2 linked regions of the Arabidopsis thaliana genome follow. The protein of the gene in region 2 binds, or shares a complex with, the protein of the main gene of each other region. Each region holds a gene or a part of one and is shown on either strand. Other genes may lie near its edges.

The links. The genes of interacting proteins can lie anywhere in the genome.
Region 1: TIL1 (region 2) and DPB2 share a complex: the UniProt entries of both Arabidopsis thaliana proteins name them as parts of the DNA polymerase II.

What each region holds. Positions count from the first base shown.
Region 1 is NC_003076.8:7,330,295-7,336,256, reverse strand, and holds DPB2 (DNA polymerase epsilon subunit B2), read left to right. Parts: upstream 1-1,974; 5' UTR 1,975-2,078; coding exon 2,079-2,247; intron 2,248-2,339; coding exon 2,340-2,508; intron 2,509-2,692; coding exon 2,693-2,846; intron 2,847-2,951; coding exon 2,952-3,083; intron 3,084-3,232; coding exon 3,233-3,310; intron 3,311-3,652; coding exon 3,653-3,757; intron 3,758-3,872; coding exon 3,873-3,953; intron 3,954-4,037; coding exon 4,038-4,168; intron 4,169-4,258; coding exon 4,259-4,353; intron 4,354-4,443; coding exon 4,444-4,543; intron 4,544-4,656; coding exon 4,657-4,771; intron 4,772-4,863; coding exon 4,864-4,974; coding exon of another isoform or gene 4,975-5,022; intron 5,023-5,045; coding exon 5,046-5,186; 3' UTR 5,187-5,432; downstream 5,433-5,962. Other genes in the region: AT5G22120 (coiled-coil protein), read left to right, coding at 1-33, 120-182, 285-530, 681-842, 1,145-1,234, 1,458-1,645; AT5G22100 (RNA cyclase family protein), read right to left, coding at 5,539-5,748, 5,842-5,962. UniProt on the Arabidopsis thaliana protein: As accessory component of DNA polymerase II participates in chromosomal DNA replication. Required for the timing and determination of cell fate during plant embryogenesis and root pole development, by promoting cell cycle and cell type patterning.
Region 2 is NC_003070.9:2,586,922-2,591,873, reverse strand, and holds the start of TIL1 (DNA polymerase epsilon catalytic subunit), read right to left. Parts: upstream 3,021-4,952; 5' UTR 2,881-3,020; coding exon of another isoform or gene 1,639-2,880; 5' UTR 931-1,638; coding exon 772-930; intron 558-771; coding exon 492-557; intron 370-491; coding exon 310-369; intron 214-309; coding exon 118-213; intron 1-117. Other genes in the region: ADT6 (arogenate dehydratase 6), read left to right, coding at 1,639-2,880. UniProt on the Arabidopsis thaliana protein: DNA polymerase II, which participates in chromosomal DNA replication. Required for the timing and determination of cell fate during plant embryogenesis and root pole development, by promoting cell cycle and cell type patterning.

The DNA of each region.
Region 1 (5,962 bases), on a different chromosome or scaffold from region 2:
CTGACCCAAATGTCTCAAGCTTTGATGCTGATGGTTGTTCTTCTAGAGTTCTCATTTGTTTTCTATCTGATTTCTCCTTTTTTACGCTGTTATTGATCGATTATCATGGATCTATTAAGGGAAAACGGAGGATTCCAAAGTATCTAGCAGTAATTCAGCTGCTCATGATTCTTCAGATGATGGTATGTTACATTTGTTGTGACTTAACAGATGCATTGACCTCTTGTATCAATCATGAGATCATGTATGTGTGTATGTTTACATGACCTTGATTTTTGTTGCAGATTGGGAAGCTCTTGCAGATGTTGAACCGAGTAAGTTACTCCCCGTAGAAGAGTTGCCTGAAATATCAAAGCTTTCGGTTGAAGAACCTAAAGTTCAAGGACCTAAGAGACGTGGAAGGGGAACGTTTACTTATAAGAGTGATGCAATGTACAGTGATCGAGATTTCTCTGAGTCGAGGTTTGATGATGATTCAGAAGATAACGATTTATCTCGTGAGTCAGAGAAGACTGATGAATCACTGAAATGTAAGTTGTGACTCTCAATGTTTCCTTTCTGTTTTTTGGATTGTATTATCTGTAACAAGTAGAAGCAGTATGTTAGATAAATCTGATTATGATTTATATGCTGCCTGTTCTAAATACAACACCTGAATTTCTATACGCTTTTAAATGCAGCCAAGTATGGCACACGCCATGTCCTCGTACTTGCTGGTTTTTCTCCAAGTTTGAGAACTACTGAATTGGAGAAGCTATTTAAAGACTTCAAAGATAGTGGATTTATCATTCGTTGGGTCAATGATACAACAGCACTTGCAGTCTTCAAAACCCCTTCAGCTGGTATATATATGTAATTTGATTTTTCATCATACATGCATTGGGTTAACTAGGAAAAATTTTAGTTTTATCCCACTACTGCATTAGTATTTCTCTGTTCTAGTGTTGCATTGTGTTATTAGATAGTGCATTGGTCTTCATCTAGGGTTGAACCACGTAAAATGCACGGCTTAGTTGTTAAGTAGGTTTAGTATCTTTACAGCTAAAAATGTAACTTCTGCCTTTGTTGCTAACTAAGTTATAAATCAGGATAGACTTTCTCCTATACAGCTAACTCTCGCTGTGTGTTTTGAATATTGATACAGCTCTAGAGGCTTGCAAGCATGTTCAATGTTCATTCACAATACGTGTACTCGATGATAACGATTCTCTTTTGGGCTCAATTTCTGGAAAAGGTAATCTACTCCTTTTTTATGGTTCTGCAAAATTATTCCCTCTTTTAATCAGATATAAGCTTCCCCACCAAATTTTTTTCTAATTTCGTTCACTTCTATATGTCATCAAATTATGAACTTTAACACACCATTTTTCCTTAATCCGCTTGATCAAGCTGTGTAATTAATTAAACACCAAAACACATATGTGTAACTATGTTATGTTAAATGATTTCTACTTCAGATTTGGAACCGCCGTCTCAAAGACCAAAGACATCAGCGAAAACAGCTCAACGGTTGATTGCTCACAGCATGGGATTGAAGCTACCGGCTTCTGGATTCGGGTCTAAAGAGCGAGACCAAGAAGCTGCCCGGAAAAACCGGATTGTCTCGAGACAGAAACAACGGGAAGATGCTTGGGGAGATGACTGACATTAACCATACAGTTTGGTTTGCTCAATTTTCCAGCTTACCGGAGCTATATTTCGTGTGTCTACTTATTGGTATATACAACCTCAATCCACTTGAGTGATCCCTTATAAGCATTGCTACTTGCTAGTGGTTGTTTGTAGTGTTTTTGTGTATTAAATTTAAACAGTTTAAAAATGCTTTAACCGGAAATGAAATCTGGACCCGTTATTATAATATTATCCAAAGTTCTAGACCCACCCGGTTTAGGTAGAGGGGCAATAATGTAAATAACGTATTAGCGAAAGAACAAAGAATTTCCACCGATTAGGGCTCTTCCACATTCGTTTCCCGCCGATTTGGGATTTTTCAGAGTTTTGCCGCCCAAAAAGAAATTAAAGAGAGAAGAAAAAAGTTTCGCAGATTCAGAGAGAGCAAAAAGAGAGAAGTAGCGAGAATGAGCAGCACCAGTCAGAAGAGGAAGAAGATACAGAAGAAATTCAAAAACAGAGGGTACAACCTCAAATTCGATGCCTTAGACGAGATTCTCGTTTTCGCCGATCAATTTCCCGACGACGATGACGGAGAAGCTATAGATCTTCTCCTCGATAACCTCCAGGAAACGCGTATGCCGCCCAATTCGTTTCTCTCTCGTATTATTCTGCGTAATTTGACATCGATTCTGAAGTCGTTGGGTATTTTGTAAAAAATGTTGCAGATAAATCATCCACTGTCGACGCGGAATCAGTTCGAGGATTGATAAATCGCTTGTTAGGAGCTCATAACGCCCCGGAGGAACCTACAACATCTGCTTCTTCCTTGGCGATCATCGACGCGTTTCTGGTGCCAAAGTTTGGATATGATTCTGTTAAAAAAAAGTTCAACGAGTAAGTCCACTCTAATTTTCCTACTAAGAGTGTGTCTAGTGAGTTTCTAGAGACGAGTTTGATAGGTGGCTTAGGGTTTATGTGTGGTAGATGATGGAACTTTATAGTGATGAATTGTAATGGTCGTTTGCGCGTTGTTGATTGTAGAATTGGACTGATTGAAGTAAATTTTAATTGATACTAGGCATACGAGTAGCTTGCCTATTCACGGTGAGGCTTCTGCAAAAACAGCTTTATACAGGGAACGATTCATGTTGTTGTCGCAGAGAGTTTCTCGTGCAGAGCATTTTTCTAGGCCAGCATTTGATGCTGAAATGTCGCAGTTTGAGAACAATGAGGTTGGTCTACGTTTTCTGTCAAATGTGGTTGTTCTCATTTTTCTTTTGGGTTATTTTTGTGTTCAAAACTAAACTAAGGAGTTTGTACTGTGTTATGTCTAGTAGATATCTTCAATCCAGTCTCTGATTTCTCAAAGGGGAAGGAAATGGGTGATGGGAGTGATATCACAGTTGGAAGATGGACATTTCTACCTGGAAGACCTTTCAGCTTCTGTAGAGATTGATCTGTCCAAAGCAATATCCTTTTTTTAAGTTGGTTCTAAAATCTGCAAAAACTGGACATAGCATTTCAACATATTGTTTAATGTCTCATGCTGATAAAGACATAGGAAGGAATTGCGTTTGAGTTTTTTGTGCTTTGAATAGTTTTCTTTGACAATCAGTACAAGATAACAACAGGATTCTTCACAGAGAATACTATAATTTTGGCAGAAGGCGAAATGCAGGTTAACGGTATCTTTCAGGTAATTAGAATTGAAGGTGGCAATTTTGGGCCTTTCTCTCCCCCATTCTGAGTTAATTACTTTTTAACTAGGGAGATATTTGTATAATTTGCTGAGGTGCACATTCATAGATTTTACGATTTTGTTTTATTTTTCATGTTGGGGTCAAGATATTAGGCTATTAGCTATATGAAGGATCATAGAACTAAGTCATGTATAGGGTCCTTTCTGTGACAAAACATACGTACACCTGTCTCCAATAAACACTTGATCAGATTGCCTGTAACAAAGCTCAGTTTTTCATAATATGTTCTTTGACCAACTCATCCTCTTCTAAAAGTGTATTCTCATCTTGTGGTGAAGGTGATTACATGTGGATTTCCTCCCTTAGAAGACAGGGACAAAACACTAAAGGCGCATTCTGAATATGATTTCTTCGGAGGCGGCACACTAACTAAAGAAGAGATGGTAATCTTTGATTCGTTGTTTGTACTCGGATTGAGAATTTTGTAAATTTTCAATGCAATCCCTTACATAGTAGGTAAACCACACTAAAAATAATGTGTTTTTTGCCTGCCAACAGATTAAACTTGCAGACCTTGAAAGACAAGCGGTGAATGACACATTTGTCATATTGTCTGACATATGGTTGGACGACGAAGAGGTGAGTTGGTGTACCAAGTACTCTATTTAGCATCAATATTTTGTGACATTGCTTGATCGCCACAATATGTTGTCCGTAGAGAAGGTTATGAGGAAGCTGGAAACTGTTCTTGACGGTTTTGAAAGTGTGGAGACAGTACCCTCCTTGTTTGTTTTTATGGGAAATTTTTGTTCTCGCCCATGCAACTTATCCTTTGGTTCGTATTCAAGCCTTAGGTAAGGGATCATTGTAGTTAGAATCTTCAATTGTTAAATGGGAATTTCTTCTTATATATTGTCGATAACCTGTGTCCATTTCTTTCGCAGGGAGCAGTTTGGTAAACTTGGGAGAATGATTGGAAACCATCCACGGCTTAAAGAAAATAGTCGGTTTTTATTCATTCCAGGTCCTGAGGACGCAGGTACCATCATCACCACCATTACTATGTAAATAATCTTTAACTGAGATCCATGAGGTAACATGACTTATAAAATCTCATCATATTTGACAGGTCCCTCAACAGTCTTGCCAAGATGCGCTTTACCGAAATATTTAACCGAAGAGCTTCGAAACATTATTCCCAATGCAATATTTTCAAGCAATCCTTGCAGGTGAGTTTTCTATACGATGTGTGAACTCTCTATTGCTCATCATTAGTTTTTTTTTCTTTTTCTTTTGAATTGTGAACATTTGCCACACATAATCTTGTCTTTGTAAAATGCAGAGTAAAGTTCTATAACCAAGAGATTGTGTTCTTCCGACAAGATCTTCTGTATCGGATGCGTCGTTCATGCTTAGTAACCCCTTCCTCAGAAGAAACGAATGACCCTTTTAAGCATGTAAACACATCTCTCGTCTCTGTTATTTTCTTACGTATGATTTAAAAGTTTTCCTGGTAAATGATGGAAACTCCTGAAACGTGTTGTTACAGCTTGTCTACACAATAACTCATCAGAGCCATCTATGTCCTCTACCTCTCATGGTGCAACCCATCATTTGGAACTACGATCACGCTCTTCGACTGTACCCAACTCCTCATACGGTATTCATTTCTATATCAAATCCTGCACGAAACCCGCCTTATAACTAAGTATTGTTGTTGTTTCAAAACAGATAGTATTAGGTGACAAGAGTGAGCAAGAGGTTTGCAAATTTGGGGGAACAACATGTTTCAATCCAGGCTCTTTCTCAACTGATAGCACATTCGTAGCTTATCGACCTTCCACTCAAGAAGTCGAACTCTCTGCTTTGTGATTCTCCTTTTAAAATTCATCCCAGGAGATCAATTGAGTGCCATTTTTACCAGACAAGCCTGAGCTTAAAAGGTATACAGAAAGAGTGAAAAAAATACTTCATGCCCCATTCTTTGCTTCTCTGTTGTATACAAGTTGTATCCTTATAAATTAAGTATTCTTTTAGGATATGTCTTAAGGTAAACAAATAATAGTCATAAATTTATATCAGACAAGGGTCGATCTAAAGTAAAAAATGCATAAATTTAAATGCAAATTGCCATTATGATTAGGTCAAAAATACACATCCACTCAAATTATAGAAAAGCGCTTTCATTCAGACAAAATTGTAAAAGGTGACTGTGAGTGAGAAATCAAGAGAGCTTTCTGGAGAGGTTAATTAAGCCACTTCCAGTACACTTGAGTATAACAGTCCCAGTCAATGGATCAGGTTTGATGGCAAACTTAACTCCCAGAAACTCCTTAATGTTCCTCAACGTCTCCACTGCATATGGAGATAATGTTCCAACTCGAACCTTTGACACGTCTTGTTCAGATAACGCACACAGTAGAAACAACAATCCCTGTAAAAAACCTCAGAGAATCAACAACACACCCACTTAAAGTCTGATCGATCTTGGTGTCTATGGTTAATGTTTTCAAATTTTAAAACGTACCTGGTGTGTTGAATCAACAACTCCACCTTTTTCAATCTCTTGAAGAAGCCATGAAGCTACTTCAACTCCTGTGTCTTCTGCTGGCGATCTCTCTTTCTTCTCTACATCGAGCTCTCCAGTT
Region 2 (4,952 bases):
TGATATGAGTAGAGAAACAACATTAATCAACTGGTGGAAGACACTAGTCAACTACATCACACAATGAGGAAGTCAGACTTAAACTAATAATAATCATAGTATGCTTTACTGACTTACAAGATCAAGATCTTCTTTTTCAACAATCTCAATATCAGCAACTTGTCTTTCATATCGGCGTCTCAAGTAGGCTTCGAGTTCCAATTCCATTTTGTCCTGTAATTTGGCATTGCAGTTTATTGACATATAAAATGAAAATACATGAATGATTCAAGGAGAATTCCGATAATGTCCAGAGAGAAACTATCATACTTTCGTGGCTGCATAAAAGTAAGGACGGAACTTGTACTTTGTCTTGAAAGAAAAGCCGTCCTGAAAAAAATCCTCAACTCAGTTAACTATTTAGAAAAATGCAACAACAAAAATATAATCGTTCATCAACTTATACGAAGCTGACATAGTAATGAGTAATGACCATAATTATAGCAGCTCACCTGAGTAACAAAGTAAAGGTCCACACAACTATAGACTTTCCCAGTATCGCGATCTTCCCAAGATGACTGCAAAACGTAGTAGATTATCCAATCAGTAAATACTAGTACTTTGACATTACCTAGAATCCTAAATTCTCGCACTAATGGAGTTTCATTGTATGGTTCAGTCGCCAATGCTTATATTTAATTTACAGAAATTCACATATAATCGAATCCGAAACCTACTCAAATACTCTCAATTAACAAGGTTGAGTCCAGATTAGAGTGTCGGAGAACTTACCGATGAGAATGTGAGTAACCACCCAAGTCGGGTTTCACCTTCAGAGAAAAGCCCAAATCCGAGTTTAGATTCGAGTTCATCTTCCGCAGTGTTCACTACCTTAGGCTTCTTCGACCACCGCGTATCCTTTCGATCCCGTCTTCGATTATCTCCGCTCATTTTGCGGCGATTATAAATTACGCGGGACAGAGAGAGATTCCTATATAGAGAGGAGCTTTATTCCTGGAGAAGCTTTGAAGGAGAATTTAGGGTCAACAAAAGGGCTTTTACTGGTAGGGCTTCGTGGATGCCGGAGAAAGTGAGTGAAAGAGTAGAGAGGAAAAAAAAATCTTTTATCATTTTCCCGCGCTTTTGGTATTGGCAACCAAATCACTGATAAGCCCCTCATTTTTGGACTCTAATTGGGCCTATCTAAAAGCCCATCTTTATCGCATTTGCATTTTGGATTTCGAACACAGCCTTTCCATTCGAGACGATGATGACAAATTAGGATTTCTAGCTCGAGGCGAAAACAAACTTCCTTCTTGTAGCTGTAGGTGTTCTCAAGCTCCGACTCACAAGTCACAAGTGTAGACTGTCTCCTTGAACTCGAATCACCTCCGGTAAAGTCTTAAACACTCTCATATCTCAATTGGGGTATGGAGAAAATCGGTTTATGAAACCAAATAACTTAAACCGGATCGGGTCGAATTAATTTTCAGTTAAATGCCGGTATGGTCCATACGACTGTGACTTGTAAGGTGGTTGTGGTAGGTGGAGAAGTGACCACACAAACGAACTACCCCAGGAAAACATGTTTTTCTACATTCTCGACTTTGCTATTTCATTGAGCTTGAATAACCAATTTTAAGACGCCATTGCTAAAACATGAAAGCTCTATCATCTTCTTCTCCAATATTAGGTGCTAGCCAGCCGGCGACGGCGACTGCGCTTATCGCGCGATCTGGTCGTTCTGAATGGCAGAGCTCCTGCGCTATTCTAACAAGCAAGGTTATTTCTCAAGAAGAATCTGAATCCTTACCTGTGCCTCCAGTTTCCGGCGGAGTTGATCATCTCAACGGCCATAACAGCGCCGCCGCACGAGTTCCAGGAATGAATCTTGTTCCGATTGAGAAATCTGATAGCAATCCGTTGGTTCCACAGCATCGTCATAATCCACTGAAACCCCTTAGCATGACGGATCTCTCGCCGGCTCCGATGCACGGATCTAATCTACGCGTCGCTTATCAAGGTGTTCCCGGTGCTTACTCTGAAGCAGCCGCTGGTAAAGCTTATCCTAATTGTCAAGCTATACCTTGCGATCAATTTGAGGTTGCGTTTCAAGCGGTGGAGCTTTGGATCGCAGATCGTGCTGTTTTACCGGTGGAGAACTCTCTCGGCGGTTCTATCCACCGTAATTACGATCTCCTCCTCCGTCACCGTCTTCATATAGTCGGCGAAGTTCAACTCCCTGTTCATCACTGTTTACTGGCTCTTCCCGGCGTTCGTAAAGAGTTTCTCACACGTGTGATCTCACACCCTCAAGGTCTCGCTCAGTGTGAGCACACGCTCACAAAGCTCGGACTTAATGTCGCACGTGAGGCAGTTGATGACACCGCAGGAGCCGCTGAGTTCATCGCCTCTAACAACCTCCGCGACACAGCCGCTATCGCGAGTGCACGCGCCGCCGAGATATACGGGTTGGAGATTTTGGAAGATGGGATTCAGGACGACGTGAGTAACGTGACGCGCTTCGTGATGCTGGCGCGTGAGCCAATCATACCTAGAACAGATAGACCGTTCAAGACTAGCATTGTCTTTGCGCACGAGAAAGGAACCAGCGTGCTTTTCAAGGTGCTCTCTGCTTTCGCCTTCAGAGACATTAGCTTGACGAAGATCGAATCGAGGCCGAATCACAACCGTCCGATCAGGGTCGTGGATGATGCCAATGTCGGGACGGCGAAGCATTTTGAGTACATGTTTTATGTTGACTTCGAGGCCTCGATGGCGGAGGCGCGTGCTCAGAACGCGCTTGCCGAGGTTCAGGAGTTTACATCGTTCTTGCGGGTGCTTGGGAGTTATCCCATGGATATGACTCCTTGGTCACCAACATCATCAACTTCATCGTAACCATACTATAGTCTATACACACATGAAAATGTAAATTTTGGAGAAGATAACAAAGTTTTATATTTACTGATCCATTCTGTTTGGTGTTTTACATTTGATTGAATTCGTATAAATCAATAAACAATTGGTAAAAATTTAAACTAAAATTCATAGAACATTGATTTGGAAGTTTTGATAACAGGGGAAAAGTTGTGACAATATGGTGGAGTTGGTAACAGAAATAAGGGTTTGGGGACAATCAATCATTGTGGTTTGTATGATAATTTCGTGTTGTCCTATTGGACCTGGGGTTGATAAACCATCGAGTCCAACAAGAACACAACATATGTACATATGTTTGGTGTATGCAAAATGTTGTCTTTTCAAATTTTCAGAAAAGATTGTTAAAAAATATAAATGCGTCTGCCGGGAGTCGAACCCGGGTCTATTGCTTGGAAGGCAATTATCCTAACCGTTGGACTACAGACGCTTTTGCATATCGAGCAAATAAACTATATATACATATAAACTTTGGATGTTGAGGTTAAAGTGAGAAAGATTTTAAAATACATATATATAGATATAATCTATATATATATTTTTGCATCCATTTTGTGAAATAAATCCTGGAGTTGAAACTTATTTACAATGGCTGTCACTGGCTTTTAATTATTAGTTTTTTCAGCAATAAATTGATTAACAAACGAAAAACATTCCAAATATATTTCAATCCCATATATCACGCAGATTTTTCCAAAATTTGAACTAGATTTCAGCAACTATTTAAAACAAAAAATGTTTGACAACCCAAAAGACAATTGCAATCCCTTAAAATGAGCAAACGCAACTAAATACATTTCTTATCAATTCACTAAATCTTATTTCTCCAAAATTTGAACTAGATTTCGACAACTATTTAAAACAAAATTTTGTTTGACAAACTAAAACACAATCGCAATCCATAAAATATTTATTTTAATTATAAATTTCAACTAGCGGGGTACCGCGGTTTTTTTTTACAGGACGGGTTTGGCAGAACGGGTTTGGAAGGACGTTACTTAATAACAATTGTAAACTATAAAATAAAAATATTTTATAGATAGAGATAATTTGCAAAATTTTATATATACTAGTTTAAATAAAAAAAATTATCTCCGCGGTGTACCGCGGGTTAAAATCTAGTCTATATATACATTTTTGCAACTATTTTGTGAAATAAATCTTGTAGTTGAGAATTATTTACAATGATTGCCACTGGATTTTAATATTTGTTTTTGATAATTAGAAAAAAAATCTTCGAATTAAATATTTGACATTTAATAAATTTTTTTAAAATCTCTTTACATTAACTACACGATTGGTTACTAAAATAAAACTTTCAAAATATTTAATATCATTTAATTACTACAAAATTATCATTATTGATATTGTTTTTCTTCATGACTATTACAATTCAATTATAATCATCAAACCGCAGAGATATTTGATAACATTTAATTACTACAAAATTACAAAATATTTAGACAATGATTCATAAACATATGATAAAGAAGATCAACATTAATAAAATAAATGAGCTTTTTTTACGGGATGGGTTGGCGGGACGAGTTTGGCAGGACGAGTTTGGCAGGACGAGTTTGGCAGGACGAGTTTGGCAGGACGTTACTTAATAACAATTCTAAACTATAAAATAAAAATATTTTATAGATAGTTACATAGATTGTTACAAATTACAAACTTTTATATATACTAATTTTAAAATATAAATTGTCCCTACGGTATATCGCGGGTGAAAATCTAGTATTATTATTATTAACCGAAAGAAATTTCTTTCAATTTTAAAAATTCTGTCAGTTATAATGAAAATGTAAAACTGTAATAAGGATTTAATATACATATTAACATGTTATATTGATATGTTATTACTATTATCCAATTTGCTTTTTCTATTACTGTTTGTTGGATGTATTGAAAATTTAAGATTGTCTCCAAAATCGATTATTTTGAAATTATATATAAAAAATAAGATTTAAGAGATTTGTTTCCAAAATATTTTGAATTCTCCATTTATTTTCATATTCTATCATATATTT